Daphnia pulex: one gene and its partner. The protein of the gene in region 2 interacts with the protein of the main gene of each other region in a pairwise test. Links are inferred from orthologs where the notes say so. Each region holds a gene or a part of one and is shown on either strand. Other genes may lie near its edges. The genes, in order: homeobox protein SIX1-like and eyes absent homolog 1-like.

What was found.
Region 1: the proteins of eyes absent homolog 1-like (region 2) and homeobox protein SIX1-like interact in a two-hybrid assay, tested with the Drosophila melanogaster proteins (2 studies listed by BioGRID). The link is inferred for Daphnia pulex from reciprocal best matches to the Drosophila melanogaster genes eya and so.

What each region holds. Positions count from the first base shown.
Region 1 is NC_060021.1:1,425,314-1,433,611, forward strand, and holds homeobox protein SIX1-like, read right to left. Parts: upstream 7,343-8,298; 5' UTR 6,652-7,342; coding exon 6,523-6,651; intron 6,326-6,522; coding exon 5,930-6,325; intron 5,769-5,929; coding exon 5,461-5,768; intron 4,028-5,460; coding exon 3,727-4,027; intron 3,665-3,726; coding exon 3,575-3,664; coding exon of another isoform or gene 3,535-3,574; coding exon 3,286-3,534; 3' UTR 2,490-3,285; downstream 1-2,489. UniProt on the Drosophila melanogaster protein: Required for visual system development. May transcriptionally regulate genes necessary for optic lobe invagination and Bolwig's nerve formation.
Region 2 is NC_060018.1:2,756,637-2,765,881, forward strand, and holds part of eyes absent homolog 1-like, read right to left. Parts: intron 8,970-9,245; coding exon 8,920-8,969; intron 6,390-8,919; coding exon 6,115-6,389; intron 4,320-6,114; exon of another isoform or gene 4,294-4,319; coding exon of another isoform or gene 4,263-4,293; intron 4,141-4,262; coding exon 4,011-4,140; intron 3,687-4,010; coding exon 3,511-3,686; intron 3,208-3,510; coding exon 3,050-3,207; intron 2,807-3,049; coding exon 2,524-2,806; intron 2,410-2,523; coding exon 2,302-2,409; intron 1,457-2,301; coding exon 1,299-1,456; intron 999-1,298; coding exon 909-998; intron 1-908. UniProt on the Drosophila melanogaster protein: Tyrosine phosphatase thought to play a role in transcription regulation during organogenesis through its intrinsic protein phosphatase activity. The phosphatase activity was shown in vitro. Appears to function together with So and Dac in eye development.

The DNA of each region.
Region 1 (8,298 bases), on a different chromosome or scaffold from region 2:
GGGGCTTTTCTGATTGGGACGATGAGTAATAACAGACAAGCACAGAGGGCTGAGCAAACATTTTCACACGTTATAAAAGAAAAGAAAAAGTAATTGAATATAACTAAGGGAAACAGCAGCAGCACCGAACCGAATCGTTATAATAAGAAACAAAAGAGAAATTAAATCTCAAAAAGATTTTTAAAAAAATAAAAAGTGTCATGGGATATAGTTGGGAAAAAAAAATCTCTAAAAGGATGGTCGTCGTCGTTTTCTTCCACAAAGTTCAACCAAAGTTCAACACCGGAAGTCCTCCCCACACGACCGAAGATTATTACGCAACACGCCTTATTCTTTTTACACACACAGAGTAGTATACCTATATAGCGTGTAATACACGTTTATAATCACACACAGGTATATAATACAAATATAAGAATATGTCTAACAATGAAAAAGGGGGGAGAAACTATGGTAGGGGGGTTAAATATAGCGGGTCGGTCTAATTAGCACCTGGCACATATAGACCCCAGCAGCACAGCACAGCACACTGGCGGCATCACAGAGTTTCATTATATATAAAAATAAACCAAGCCAAAAAAGGGAATAAAGAATCTAAATAGATATCCGTTGTGTATTTACTTAAAGACTTTAAATGGCCCCTTTTGATTATATACGACTTCTTCTTCTTGTGTTGGACTTTTCCAACTATTCATCCACTTTGTCTGCTGCGCTTATATAATATGCACACTAAACACACAACGTGTGTAATATTATAACAAGGGCAGCACAGGATGTATCTAGTTAGTGGCCGTTTGTGGCAATAATAATCTACAACACAGTTACGCCGGCCCGGCCCGGCCTGGCCTATATTATTTTCCAGCCAAACGGATGTTAAATCATACATCAATTCATTCTTTTTATATAATATAATATCCCCAGGTGTGATTATGCAAGCGGAGAGGTTTTAATGATGTTACGTTTAATATTTTTAAGGTTTTACTGCTGACATTTGCAAACGGGAAATATCAAAAGGTGCTGGGCCATCCAGTGAAATCAATTGTATAAAATCTGTGCGCACAGCCCAGCAGTTGGGACGGGCACGTGAGTTGCTGGATGGCTGGTGATGGGGGGATGAACTGAACTGATTTTTTCTGATTGATTAGAACAAAGTGACAGCTCATTTCATCAGATATAATAATAAAAAGGGGGGAGGATGCCAGCAGCAGCAACCCCTCACATAATAATAATGATAATCAAAAATATAATTCAAATGAAAAATAATATAGAAGATGGCTGTGCTGCTGCTGTGCTGCTGCGTATTGTTTGATCGTGGCCACCCCGTTTTTCTATTCTCTTTTTTCTCGAAATATAATAAAGAGATATTGTGTGTTTTGCTGGATGAATGGCACAGCCGGCTGCTCGCGTGCCCCCCTCACCACCCCACCCATTTTTACCTGTGGTCTCTTGTTGTGTGTGTGTAGCCCCTTTGACGTTTGTTGGTTGATTTTACGTTCCTGATTGAAAAGTTGGCCAATATTCTCTGATATACATTTTCAAGCTAAAAATAAAAATAGAAAAAAGAACTTTGACATTCACCAGCAGTTTGTGCTGGTCCTTGGAAATGTTCAGTGTACAGTTTGGACATTTTTGCATATCATTAGACACACCTGGGGGGAATATATATTTTAAAAGGGGCGGTCATTTACTCTGCGCGTGCAACACTTGCACCTTCGAAATGGCCACCAGCAGGAGATAGACGAAATCTTTTGCTCTTGTGATTTCATCACCACCACCAACTCTGCTGCATGTCACTGGCCTTTGATTCTATTATTCGCCGCTCGTGTGTTCTACATGGGCGTTTGCATATATAGGACGGACGCCATTGCATACAATAACCGCCCGCGTTTATATTCCCACCCCGTTATTTCGGATAGAGGAGGAACGAGGGTGAGCAGCAGTGCTGTTAACGGGCGCCGCGGCGCTTCTTTTCTTTCTTTCTTTCTGCTGTTATATATGTCGTGAGGTACGATAACGAGCGCGTCACCCGGCCATGAACATCACAGCAGCTCTTCCCGGTGTTCTTCCTTCCACCCCCCGGCCTCCCCTCCCCCCTCTTTTATATATATATATTCTATTCCCAATTAGGACGTCTATTGTTTGCTGGTTATGTACTGTGCATGCGGCGGCGGTGGCGGCGGTGGTGTGACGGCGGCGCGCCCGTCGACCGGAACGACGACGACAACGACGCCGTCCGCCGTAACAAACCGAAAAAAAAAACAAAAAAAGAACGTCGAAATTTAGATGTCAAAAATTATTTGATCAAGAAATTATTATTTCTTTCTTTTTTAATTAAATTTACAAATAAATCTGAATATTTTAAAAAATTACATTTTCTTTCTGATTAATTCTTTCTTGATTTAATTTTTTAGAAATTTGAATTTAAAATAATAATGTTTTCATTTTCTTATTGGAAATGAAATAAATTTTTCTGAATTTATGAGAAACAATTTGTGAATTTTTGTTTTGTTTTCAAATCGTTTTGGTATTTTTGTACAACAGCGTCCAGCAGTCGAGTATTGAGAGAGAGACACACATTACAAAAGAAAAAAAAAACAACAGATTATTACACATTCACTAATTGATGACATAATACGAACACCAGGAAATTGAAACCAACAAAAAATTGAAAAAATGTTTTTTTCTTTAAGGGTGGGTCTGGGGAAAAATTAAAATTCAGAAGATAAAAAAAAGCTGATGATTTTGGTTTGGATTTTAGACAAGAAAACATTTTTGTTTTTTCTAAATTATTGATTGATTGATTACTGTATAAACACAAAATGGAGAGAACAAATTGATTTTTTTTTCTGATCAAGATATATAAATGTAATAAAACCCCCCGTCATTTAAATATATATCATTCGATTGGACCGCGAAAATTTCGTTTGAAAAAAAAAAATAATAATAATTTTCAAATGGAGAATTAAAATGTTTTAGATGAGTCGATCCGTTTTTTCGATATATATATAATAGGCCAGAGAGAAGGGAAAAATTAGCAATAAAATATTATTGTTTTGGCGCCAATTGAATTCTTTTTGTTTTGCTGTCCAATTAAAAAAGCGGGAAAAAAAAATTCAATCACTGGGTTCATATTTTTTGACAAAAAAATTCCTATCCGCTTCAAAATTGTTTTATACTACTTTTTTATGAAAATTAAAAAATTGATTATACACATCTTTTCTTTTTGGAATGGAATAGGTTGGCGAAATATAGCAAATGAAATTTTGAATTTAAAAAAAAAGGGAATTATATAATCAATTTGAATTTTTCTGGCGGGAAAATAAACTCAATTGAAATTTGAATAATTTTTGAATTTTTAAATCTACGGTGGTCGTCACGAATTGGCGTGCGGATTGTTGTAGTCGTGGGCCGTCGGCTGCTGCTGGGCAGGCCCGGTCGATTGTTGTTGTTGTTGCTGGAGCAGAGAATGGGCCAGATCGGCGTGCGACGGGTGGTGCGAGGTGACGTGGTGGCCGGGCGAGCCAAAAGCGGCGGCTGCGGCCGCCGCAGCCGCCGCAGCCGCCGCCGCCGACGCCATTTGCAACTGGTGGCTCGTGTGGTAGACGGACGCCAGTTTCAGGTCCGGGTACAAATCGCCGATCGATCCGCCACCAATCAGCGAGTCCTATTTTGTTTATTTATTTAAAATTAATTGGAATTCAATTAAAATTGAAATGATTTCTATACCTGGTTGCTGCCGTGGTGCGGGAGGGAGTTGGCCAGTGCGGCGGCCATGTTGTTGAGTTGTTGTTGTTGTTGTTGTTGCTGGTGGTGGTGATGGTGGTGGTGGTGGTGCTGGATGTGATGAGGGGGCGGCGGCGAGGGCGTGTCCAACAGGGCGGCCGAGTGACGCGCCGACGCCAGCGACGACGTCGCCATGGCAACGTCGGGACCGTCTCCGTCCAGCGACTCGGACCCGGATTCGTCCAGGGCCGAGGCGTCGTTGGCGCCGTCTCCGCCGTCCTTGGCCGAACTTCCGCCCGACACTCTGCGCGGCAAATTCAAAAAAATTTGAAAAATTTGAAAAATTCGTGGCGGGAAAAAACAATTGAATTTAAAATTGATTCCAGTTAAAAATTTAAAATTAAAACAGAAAAGAAGAAAAAGAAGAAAAGGGCGGAGGTGGGGTGGGGAAACGGACGGATCAGGTTTCTTCTTCCCCTTGTCGAGTTGTTGGCCGTGTGTGACTGCGCACACACAGCGAGACGGCCAGACTGGCTGCTGCTGCTGCTGTTGTTGCTGGCAACTGGTTCTATATTCCCTTCCATTCAAGTGAGGCTCTCAACAGAGGGGGCTGTTTGTTTGACTGACATTTTTATATAATACCCAGACAGAAAAGAAAAAGAAAAAAAGACGGGCAGGAAAAAAAAGACCATCAGGGCGCCTCCGGAATTTTGTGTTTCTTTTGTGTGTACGTTATATACTTACACGCTTCATCAGAGACGGACAAAAAGACATCAGCCGATTACTTGTCGTAACATTACGTCGACTGGCCAGACCAAATCAACCGTCAAACATTGGGAATTTCTTTTAAAAAAATACGAAAATGGACGGCCTAAAAATAAAATTTTATTTTTGCCCGGCAAAAATTTTATTTTTTTTTGTCCGGGGTGGGTTGACGGCCTAGAAAATCAAGTTGTCCTTTATGTACCGTTATAACGACAATATTGACTCGGGTTACACACAGAGAAAAGACCGAAAATGAAGAAGGGCCGTCCAATATTGACACAGCTGAAAGGGTCTCTCCCTCCGCACCAAAAATCTAACCCACTTATTTGTCTGTCCGTCTACTACATACCGCCCACCCATTACGTTAATAACATCAAACTCTGCACGGCCTATCAACATTCCCCTGATGCTGGACATTTATAAACAAGGCCGGGAATAAATGAAATGGCCCAGTTGCCCAGTTCAAATGTCTATACACAGTTGACCCCCCTTTGCCCCAAAAAATAATGGCCGTCTAGTTTCACGTCCAGTCGCGCCGACTTGGTTTTTTTTTCTTTTAAAAACTATCTCGGCCAGCAGTTGTATATAGCGCCGGGCCAGGCCGTTAAAATACGACACGCCACGAAGACGACGACGAGAGAGTCAAAGAGTTTAAATATAGATAGAAAAAAGGCGCCTCTTAGTGTGTATCTAAGACAACAGTGTGTGTGTGTGTGTGCCCAGTCAAAAGTTTATATATACATCAGAAAGAAAAGGGCGGCCAGCGTATATAGAGTCCCTTTGGCTGGTATATATACTCTGACTGGTGTGCTGGCCCAGTCATAACAACAACCCCAACAACTTCTTTTATATCTCTCTCTAGGCCAGCAGCTAGCAGTAGATTGATTTTGATTTCGATTGAGATAAAAAGCCGGGCCAATTAGCGCCGGCCTTATAATGATAAATGAAAGATAATATTATAAAAAGACGGACCTGTCTTTGTGCTCGGCGGCCCTGTCTCTCTGCCGCCGGTTCTTGAACCAGTTGGAGACTTGGGTGGTCGTCAGGCCGGTGGCCTCGGCCAGCTCGCGCTTCTCCCTCGGCGACGGGTACGGATTGTGGCCGTACCAGTCGCGGAGCACCGATCGCGACTTCTCCTTGAAGCAGTAGCTCGTCTCCTCTCCGTCCCAAATGGTCCGCGGCAGCGGGAACTTTCTGCGCACCCGGTACTTGCCCACCGCACCCAACGGCCGCCCGCGCAACTTTTCCGCCTCGATGTAATGCGCCTTCAACCAAAGAGCCTAATATCAAATTTTAAAAAATCAAAATTTAATTTTTGCTGGGCAGACGGGCAGACGGAAAAATTATTTTTTTTCAATTTTTGGAATTTTTGGTCCAGCAGACGGACGGAAAAATTTTATTTTTTTGCCCAGCAGACGGGCAGACGGGCAGACGGACGGACCTGTAGTTTGGGATGATTGTGCGGCGAGAATGGATGGGTTTCCAGGAGTTTGTAGAGTTCTTTGAAATTGGCGCGGTGGAAGGCGACGACGGCCTTGGCTTTGAGAACGCTCTCGTTCTTGTGCAGCTGGTCGCAGGCCGGCAGCGACCAGAGGAAACGGGCCAGCCGCTCAATGTTGCCGCTCTGCTGGAGGACCTCGCAGACGCAGGCCACCTGCTCCTGCGTGAAGCCGAACGACGGCAGGGCCGCACCGCCGCCGTTTCCGCCGGAACTCAGCGACGACGTCCCACCAACCGAAGACGACGAATTGTTGTTGTTGTTGTTGTTGTTGTTGGATGAAGGAGGAGATTGACTGGGCAACGTCATCCCAGTTGACGTCGAAGACATTCCCGGCATCTAATATTTTTGAAATAATTAAATAATATTTTAAATTTAAAATTCCATTTGATTTTGGGTCGTTGAAATGAAAAATTTTGATTGGGAATAATGACGGACGGCCCGTCGCTAAATGTGACGGCCGGGCCGGCCATTGATTCGTTAAAAAACCAGAATAATAATAAAAAATGGAATTTAAAAAATGTTTTATATCATACCATTCCGGCGGCCATCATGCCACCCAGCCCCATGTGGTGATGGTGGTGATGGGCGGCAAAGCCGGACATGTGATGATGATGTGCCACCAGGTCGGACATGCCTCCAGCAGCTGACGGACCGACAATCATCGATCGGCTTTGATTCGATCAAAAGTTGTAACTTCCCCCACGTAATTTTTATAGTTTTATTTTCCAATTTCTTTTGATTCTTTCGATGATTATAACAGAACAAACGGACACGTGCTGCTGGACAGCTGACGGGCCACCAAATTGAGTTAGACACACATCTATAATAAGCCGCTTTCCTTTGGCTATAAGATTAAAGATGACAGTTGAATTGGAGATTATAATCGGATCATATTATAAAAATCCCAAATTTTTTAAAAATAAATCTGTCCGGTAGTTATTTCCAACTGTGTAGAATTTCGGGTTTCAATCACGTACTACACACAGCGACGGGCTCAGCAGCAGCACGCACTCACTTAAATTTTTCTGGGTGCCGGCCACAGCGCGTGTCATTAATCGGCCGCTTTGCTTTCACGCTCACGAAATCAAACGAAATTGTTTTAAAATTATTTGATGTAGAAATTCCAATCGAAATATGGTGCACAGACACTCGACACACACACATACACACACAAATCACAAATCACTTTTTTGTTTTTCCTTTTGTGCCCGGCAAAATGATATGATGGGCCGGCTGTTTTAAAAAATTTGGAATGATTGTCAAGTTGTTGTTTCAAGTTGTTGTTGTTGTTGTTGTCTGGATCGACTGAGAACGAGCTGTTGCGCCAGGAAGAGTCCAGACAGCACTGCGCATCTCGTCCGTCCGGCCCCAACCCTTTTGGACGGTATATTATACCAGCAGGGCCGCCCAGCCAAAGGAGGAGGAGCTTGTGAAAAATAGGAGGAGCTCCAGTAGCTTATCCAGTCGCGTCTCTTTTCCTTTGAAAATGTCTTACCCCTCGACATCAGAGACACAAAAGGGAGAAATGAAAGGTGGGCGGAGTTGACTGGGCTGGAAACGACGCCCAATCGCAGCTCTGCCATTGGTCTATAACATTCGAATCAAACTTGCGTCCGATGGCAATCATAAAAACCACTGGCATCTTCTTGATATTATAAAAGGGAATCCATCAAAAATGGAATGGAGATAATCAAACATTTCCATTGCTGGTTATATGTGTACAAGAGTGGGAAAAAATGATTTTATAGTTCCAGCGCAAAGGAAAGAATTTAAATCTGATTATCTACATACATGTCTAGGATAGTATATTTATAATGGCGACATTGGCGCTCTGTGGATTGACATCTGAATAAAATTAGAGAGATAAATCTTGTTATATGTTGGGAGAAAAAATTGTTTCCAGCACACAGTCGACTGCTGGACTGGACTGGGCTGGGCGAGGGTTCAAAGGAGAGAAAATGTGTGTCCATCTTTTTTTCAACCAAAAAGATTACGGGGTACATTTAAGGTCATACAGCATCTAAAGGATGAACTTTTTCTTGTCTCTCCTTATACTCCAGCATATAGATATCATGTCCGGTCAAGAAATTTTATATAAAATAAAAATAAAAGATGGAAATTAAATCCAACACGCCCGAAAAAATGAAAATCAAAATCAAAATCTTTTTGACTGAAACAGTTTGACACTGCTGACTTGTCAAAAGGTCATCATCTCCGAGACGGGCAGCCCGGCCAGCAGCCAAGGCGAAAAATAAAATAAAAACCGGGAGGCTTATAAGTGGTCGCACATGTTTGTCTCTACATCCAGC
Region 2 (9,245 bases):
GCAAAAGGGAGACACGAACGAAACATAAATTCTTTCACCGTATGTGTACAGGTGCGTTATAAGAGCGACGGACGAACAATGAAGCAAAAACGAAGCCCAGATAAGAAAACCAGCGGACGGTCCTAAATGGGACCGTCGAAAGTTGGCAGCCTCTTTTTTTTCTTCAGACGGATTAAATTATATAACCATTTGATGAATCTATTCCCGCCCGTGAGCAAAAAAAAAAATAAAAACCAAGGATGCAAAAACAAACAAATTCCCTATCTGACAAGAATTTTTTGAACGAAAGCAAGAGTCACTCCCGTATTTGTTGTTCGGTTCGTGTTTTTTAATCACCGCGACACCCCCCATCAACAACGTCACGAAGTTTCCATTCTTGTTCTAATAACACCCGTCGTGAATAATTGTTTCTGTTTTGGCTTTTCCTTTCCTACTACTACGACACATTTGTTTGTTTTGTGGTCTCTCTTTTGGCCGTGATTCCAATGCTGTCGGAGCGCGGGAGACAACTGTCATTTGTTGTGTTGGGATCCGCCTTCTGACGGCGTAGCTTCTTGTCTCTGATTCCTCTTTCTTATTCTTCCTCCGTCATGACGGGAGATTTGGCGGCCATTTAACAGTGATAGTCGCAGCAACCAGCTTCGTCATTCTAAAAAAAATTACTATTGTGTTTCTTTTTTTTTCCCTTCTTGTTCTTCTTCCAAACAAGATGCGCATCAGACGGGCCGCGATTCCTTGAACATTTTAAGCTTTCCAACCAACAATACCATCTAGCGGCGTGAATTAATACCCTAACTTTGCGTTCGTATCTAAATCCAGTAAGGAAAGATAGAGGGCTTAAAATCTGGAACACGGTTACTAGGGGGAAAATGACCGAAGAAACATTTTTTAAAAAATAAACAACTAACCTCTAAATCGTTGAAAAAGAAATGAGTATCGGATAGGTTGAAAATCAACTCCTCCATGCCGACTCCGAGCTGGATCGAGCCGGGAACGTCCTGAAAAATACAATGAAATAGGAAAATTGAAACTAACGAGCTTGCGGAGTTAAAAAATTTTTTCAAATTGTTACACGTCAAGAAACAAGTTAAAAAGAGTACCGCCCGCGCGAAGACGAAAGCAGCTTTAAAAACAAGCCATTTTCATTTGCTCTGACAGGCTTGACATGACAGATAAACAGACACGTTAAACGCGCTTAGAGAAGGGAGATGTTGAGGGCGGTCTCAGTTGTGTCAGAAATCTCGCGCGATAATAATTAACTGCCAGCGTCATCACAATTTGTGGTGTTGTATTGTTACCTTTCCAAATCTGGAGGCGTACGATCCGGTCATTAATGAATGGAAAATGATGATGGTCTCGTCAAGATCCCAAATAAAGACACGGTCCAAATTTGATTCGGGGTCTGGTGACGGATTTGGTGCTCTTCGGTTTCTATTTCGTGCGCTCCTAGATCCACCTGGGAAACGAGAAAAGCCAAATGTATTAGACGCTCATCACATTCATTTTCCAGTGAACTGCGTCTATTTCTGCTCGCATGCAAACATGTTTAGGCTTCAACAAGGACGGTAATATCACAACGACAATTTCTTGTCATGTCAGAGAGCCCCCATGTCAGCGTCAAGGAGGAGCCGTGCTCATTTCAAAGAGACGTTTCGACTCGGCGAAGCAACCCGATCCGGCGTGAGTGAACGGGAGAGCTTCTCAGAGCTCTGCGCAGATTTTTGAATGCCGATGATGCTCACAATGGGAATGATGAACGATGGAGCCCTCGGGAGTTGTGTGCAGTCATCAAATCAAGAAGAAGAAGAAAAAATTGGCTAACAATGCTGAACACGATCCGTCAGCTGCACGTCGTGAACCGTCCAAGACCGTCCAACCCAGTGCAAAAGTATTAAGTTCTTATAACTATGAGGCTAGGAGCGCGGTCCGGTAAGTGGACACCGATGCAGTCGTGGTCGGTGCAACAGGAAGAGCCAGCTTCGTACCCGCACCCGCACGAAACCATCCACACGGAGGCAACGGGGATAAAAAAGACCAATCCAACCTTGAACCAGCTCTACGTACACTTTTCTTATTCGTCTTCTTCTTCTTCTTCTTCTTCTCTCGAATCATTTCTATACTTTATACGTATCATGTTCTCTTTGTTTCATTTTTGTTTCAATTTTTATGCTGTAATAGGTTTTTCAGCTAATGCCGGAGGATATCGAATGTTATATGGAAAGCAGAAATATACCCTAACGTATTTTAGATAGAACAAGCGTACGTAGTATGTAGGTAATGTTATTAGCGTATAGAACAGACCTTCGGCTGACGTCTCCTTACTCCTCCGAGAGTTGTTGGTCGGGGTCGAATCGCTCTTGATTGTCAGGGGTGGACTGCTGTTCTCCACAACGGGATACGGCGGACTCTCTGCTTTTCAAACACGAAAGAGACCATTAGAGTAAAGTCGTTATTACCGGATTTTGCTACATATTATGTTTTTCTTTAGATTTGTTTGGGTTTATCCTGTAGGGATCTTCAAACCTGAGAGGGAAGAGGAAGCTGATGTCAGGCTAGCGTGCGGCAACTGTTGGTAGGATCCAGCCGAAGTGAAATTGGTTGTTGACGCAGAGACATTGTTGCTGTTGGTTGCTGCGCTGGTCGGGTTAGGGACTCCACCAAGGCTCGGCAATCCGGTCGGCGATAGGCTGGGCAACGACGCTGTGCCAGAGACGCTGCCGTTGCCATAGGGAGCGTAACTCTGGCCATAGTAGGACGCGTAACTACTGGCTTGGCCGTACGGCGTATACGTACCGTAATCGAGTCCCTGCGAAACCATACAAGAACAAAGGAAACACGGTGAACGTGTGACGACATCGTGACTTGGGCAGTCTCCCATTATTGTAACAATACTTATCGGATCATCGGATTATTTTGCAAAAGAGACAAACAAATTTGTTGCGGTGGTCGTCGACACACCTTGGTCCCGACACTATACCCCGCATAGAGTCTATAGGCCTACGATATCGCCTACATCACAGGGACGTATTAATCATATAGGAAATCATACCGTTGGAACTTGTTGACTGTTGCTGAAGGATTGGGCGGCGGCGCTGTTGTACGCCGATCCATAAGCCGAGGCGTAGGCGGGCGGACCCGACGGCGAACTGCTGGCAGTGACGCCTCCGAATGCTGACCCGTACGAGCTCAAATACGGAGGCGTTTGTGCTATGGTAAACAAAAAATCACAATGAGGATATTGAACCACTTGCGAAACGGTCACATTTTTTAAAAATTAACAGTCTAAGTTGTGTTTCGCGCGGTCAGTGAACTCCACAAATAGGGATGCTGGATCACGAAATAGTTTAACTATTTACTCTGTCGTCATACAGATCGTTTTCACTCTGACTCAGCAAGATATTGATCTGTGCCACAACTCTGACTTTGATTTTTAAATGATGTAACCAACGATTTGGCCTATAAGTGTCTGAAAAATAAAAGCCCTAGAATGAAATTTGTTCAAAAACTCACCTAATGATTGACCATTTTTGCACTGTTGGCCTAGAGCTCTTGAACTAGGCACGCCCATCGTTGTGTAAGTGGAGGGCGCTAGGACTCCGTAAGGCGTCTGCGACGGTGCGCCATTGTAAAATCCGCTGCTGGGCATGTAGGCCGACGTCGACTGACTGTTGTAGGCCTGCATCGCGCTGCAATGATAACACAAACGAATCAAATAAAAAAAAACGCACGGAGGCATTGATGAAAAGCCACAAAACAAGTAGGAAATGAAGAAATTTCAACGAGGTCGTTCACACAACATCACGCCGCTGCATTCCATTATTATTATTATTATCACAGCCAACTGTTTTCTTTTTTAGACACGTCTGCATTAATAAACGCGTTCCCCCCAAAACAACGGCCGTTTTACACCAGCCCCTGTCAAGCGATGCCAAGTCGCACGTTTCCTTCTCCAGTTTATTAATTTGATTGTCTTGAGAGATGAATCCCACATGCACTTATTTGGATCGTACCTGCTGTAATAGGAAGCAGCGTAGGCCGATTGGTAGTCACCGGTGACGGCAGCCAGAGCGTCGCTGACGAAGGGCGAATCTGAAGAGCCGAGATGGCCTTCAGACGAGGCTCCAAGAAGTTCGGATTTCACTGTGAAAACAAAATAACAAGGATCGTTAATTTGAATGCCTTTTGATTGATTCTCTTTTATGTTTTCCAGCCGTCATCGATAATAGCCTGTGGTGTCTGGGAACTTTTTGTGCGTAGCTTACAGATGAAAAGACTGGATCGACGCTGACTCATTCGTTGCGCTTTCAAAGATCCGCGACGGACTGAACGAATTCAGACCCAACACGGTACAAAAGCCAACACCAAATTCCATACTGTACGTTTACATGTGCACAGAGTGTCTACGCAGTCTGCGAGTATTTCCGCACGGGTTCCGGTGAACAAACAAATTCAGAGGAACTAGAGAGACGTGGGGACACACGTTTCGATCTGGTGTCTTTCGCTGGAAATGGCAAATCAAACGCAGTGGAATGTCAATATCTGTTGGAATCGCCATTCGTCCACCATTGAAACAGCCATATCGACTGAAGAGAAATAGAGAGAGAGAGAGAATAAAGAGGAAATGGTTGTGATATTGGTGTAATCTGAGATTTCTCATCTCCTAATCTGAATCTCTGCTTCGTTTGTCTGTCTATTGCTCTTGGCAAACGCGATTCACTCCCTTTCTCTGTGCCCACATTCCAAGCTTCTTTGACGATCAGCTGATCGTTTGAAATAAGAGAGACGTACCATACACTGCTCAAGGGAACAAAAAAGAATGGGCGAGATTCTCAATCGACCATTTCCTGATTATATTTATGGATAGATTGATCGCCACTTGATGTCGGTTCGATTCGTCGTAAATTGCTGACATTTCGGTCGCTCTCCGCCTGCATATTCCTCGTTTTTTGTTTGTTTTATTATTATTATTTCTTCTCCTCGCAATCAATAACAATCACTCGACGAACAATTCAATGATAGAAAATGACCACTGCCCTAGATACCGGCGCTGTGTTCTTTATACCGACAAACTCGATTAAAATCAATTTCCCTCCCACTACGAAAAACCTACAGTTTTTGAATGTGAGCTGTCGCGGAAAAGTTTCAGACATAGTTGAAATAAAAAAAGGCCCCCCTCTCATAAGAAAAGAAAAAAATAACAAGAAAAAAAAAAGACGGACGGACGGACAGTGTTACTTGAGACGTACCATTTCCCCCCTCCCCCCTTAGCCTTTTTTATTATTATTTTTTTTCCTCTTCTGGTGGAGAGGGGTAGTTAGGGTGAATATATATTCGAGTATACTTTGATACGTCTTCGGTATATCTTTCTAGACTGGGATACCTAAGTACGTATATTCCAAGTATAGTTAGAGGAAGCCAAGTGTGGCCTAACGTGTAACGAATACTATTACGGCGGACACGACTATAGTTTGATCGAATCAAATGCATCACAACGAGGGTAAAGGGAGTCGATGGAGAGAAGAAGGAGGCAGTGACTGGGAAGTCAAGGATGACGGGTCAGACTCGATGGCGTCTACAGATGATGAAGAGGAGCTGAAGAAGGGCAGCACACTGGAGGTAAATCGAATCAAGTTCAATTTTAATTGAAAATGAAGCCTCTCGGAAGAGAGCGGGGAGACGGGCAGAATGGTTCGTCATAGAAAAGAAAGAATAGGAGCCCAAGCTGGAATAGGATCGATTACCACTTGGATGTTGGGAATAAGAAAGCAACGGAGACAGAGAATGCACACAGGACGTTACGATCCATGATGCGTGAGTGCCGCGAACTTGATCCGTGGCGCTTCTTCAACCCACCTGGGGAAAAGAGGGATGACTTTCAAATGCTCGCATCCATCCGCACTAGAGACAATGTCTGGATACAAAACATTGTGGGAGAATGTATATCTTGGGGAGGGAAAACAAGTCGCATAGAAAGTGCGGTTAACCAAAAAACAAAAAAAAGACGACAGTAATACAGGTGGGAAAGAAGAATTCTTCTGACACAAAATGTTAGCGGGTAGAACGAGTTGTAATTCATACCGAAGGTATGATTACATTTGACATCGTTTGTATTACCTAAGGAATTGTCTGAAGGTGTCGCCAGTGTCCATGACGCCGGCGATGACGAATACGTCGGTGTGGAAGAGGTCATCGTCCTGGATACCAACGAACCGCTACCGGGACCGGGTCCAACCAAACCTCCTTGCTGCTGCTGGATGGACGATTGGCCTTCTGGCGGATGGCCGCTATTCCCTCCGCCTCCGCTTCCTCCGCCTTGTTCACCAGGAGATCCGCATGTCGATTCTGATTGGCTGGCAGGGCTAGACACGTGACCGGTTTCACCAAGCCTGCTTTATAGGGAACAGAAGAAATTAATTTCATGTAAGATTTTTGAGAAATAAGACACTTGAGATGAAGTTTAATAAGACACTATTGACCGCAAAACGACAAAACAGCCACCTGTGATTGATTAGCGATACGCGAGACGTTGGATTTCTGACTTTTCTGGCACATAATGCTGCTAAAAATCTAACCGAATGCGATTCCAAACACCTTGCAAGATGAATGGCACTTAACTTGACAGGTACTGAAATAGAATACGGCGCGTGCCTATTCGTGGAGAGCTCAACGTGCTTTTTTCCTCGCCTTGATGTGCTGATTTGACGGGTATAAATTGGGTCACCTATGAGAGCTCCCCCCCAAAAAAGGAACTATTCTTTTTGTGCTGTTCACGATCACGTTGTAAAACACGGGCGAATGTGAACCGTTTTCCGACTAGCGATTGGTCAACATTCGCTCGAAAAAGGCGGGATCCTTGGATGCGAGCGCTTCGAATATCGCCAACTCGCTGGATTTAGGGACTCGGACAAAGGCCGACGCTCATATCTCAACTCGGTCGACGACGAGTGATTTATGTACCATTGAGGGTTCAGACTTCCCAAAAAGAACACACTGCAAATATAACAACAGGGAGAAAAAAAAAGATCTCCTCTGTCCGTATGTCGTTATTCGAGGGAGCACTGATTTTGTTGACATTGTTTTTCTTTCTGGCTGGTATAGTTCTTTTGATAAAATTCGTTTAGGATTTAAGATTAATGTAATAGTTTCCTGGTAGCCTATTAGTTCCCGACATTCGGGAGCCAGGAAGGAAACAAACAAACAAACAAACCAAAGCCGTGACGTGTACGGTATAATATGTAACGTAAATAAATAGAAGCGCGTTTTGAAGTTGTTCGTATTTTGATCGTCATTTCTCTTCGCCCCGACACCTAACCAACAACACTTTTCCGAAATTTTCTTTTCCACCAAGCAAAACAAAAGAAGTGTACTCGTATTACTCTTCGAGGCGCCTGGCTCATTATAAAGCATATATCCTCCCTCCAAGAGGAGGAATCCACACCGTAAAGCCTCTCACAACAGGAATTCCAAACCAAAACGAATACGCACAGGCAACGGAAATAAGAATACGGTGAAAGGACAAATCAAACATCACATTAAGGAAAGAAATGTAGCGCTGTGACTATACAGGCCTGTATTTCATTCCAATTCCCAGACCAGTTTCCAAAGTGTCAATGTAAAGCAGTCGTATACATTTTTTTTTAGAAAAAAGGGCAACAACAGGATCGTCAGTTGAGAGAAAGAGAGGAGTCGCTTCTATTTTTTTCTCTCTCTCTCTCCACCGGACTGTTGGTGTGGACTGTCGAGTATTGGAAACATGTGCTGGCCATATGTGCGAAAAAGTTCGGCCCTTCCCGCCCATCATTCTCTTAGAATCTCAGCGGGGGTATATAGAAGGAGGCACACTAACATGGCTTACTACATCTATAAAAGAGGGCGAAAAGGGCGGTGTTCCTTCCTCTGTAGCCGATGGCCGACATACAAGAGACCGAGGGTGTCCGTCTTATTTTTTTGTGTCTTCTCTTCCCCATTTTCTTTTCCTCGTCTTATTTTTTTCCTGTTCTTCTTCTTCTACTTGTGTGCTGCTGCTCCTACAGGCCATGTTTTCTATAACGGTGAACACCGGACGAGCAAACAACAGTGTCCGAGCATTCAGGCTTGAAAAAGACATTCTCTTTCACTCTTAAATGCCCAACATCAGGGCGCTCTCTTGGCCGTTGAAATGTTATTTGACAGGTCGCTTCGACGGAGCAAGGAGAGGTCTAGAAAGAAATCTCTGGACATCCGAATCGATGGGCCGAAAAAACAAAACCAGAAGAAGAAGAGGCAGAAGAGGGAAGAAATGAGGAGAATAAAGAGAATTCCTAACAAACTTCTTTCCGTTTTTATTTTTTCCGCTCTGACTAGCTGTACAGCTCTCGAGAAGAAGAGACATCATCATCTTGACGGGTCTGCCCGGACGGAAGACAGAAGCCAGACAGATCGACCAACGGACCCACTCCCATATATATCTCCGTCTTCCAAGCATCTGATGTATACACAGTCGGTGGCATTGGCATTATAAAAATGCTTGTAAATGCATGCTATAAGGATGTAAGATGTAGATTTATAGCCACTCGATTTGCATCTCCTAATGAACCGACTACCTCCGCTATGAGAAATACCTCGCAATGTCACCCGTCGTCAGAAATGGAAAGGTGATTTTAATTAAAGAGTAACTGCATGATGCTTTCATTTGCCAGCTCTTGACGATGAGAAATGTTTCTTTAAGAGCGCACGGAGATTGACCGATGGGACCCAAACCAAGAATTCCTACGCGTCTCTTTCTATAGGAGTTTGTGGTATAGAGAAGGAGACTCCATTTCAAAGATGATGGTGACATTTATCACCAGAGAAGTAAGCGAGAAAAAGTGTCTCGAAAGAATCATCTTCATCTTTCTATGAAGTCAACATTGATTGGTTTAAAATTCGAATTGTACATACCTTGCGGCTGATAAAGCGTCGGTGTCGTTGTCGGTTCTTGGCCGTTTCACCTGAAAAATAATTGAAAAGAAAAAAATTGTTAAGATGATGTCATGGTTGGTATAGAGTTAGATACAAGTGGCTCGGAAATATGGTCGACGTCACTTTTGGCTAATATCAACATAACCTACTGCCACCGGCATTCAAGTATACATACGACCGCATAAGTGTGTGTGGCCGTCGTGGCCTTTCCCCCATCTCTCTACGGGATGTACACGTAAGAGGATTGATCATCGTCAAAGCAAAGTCTCTTAGGATTGAATCAACAAGAAATCCAATTGACGCAT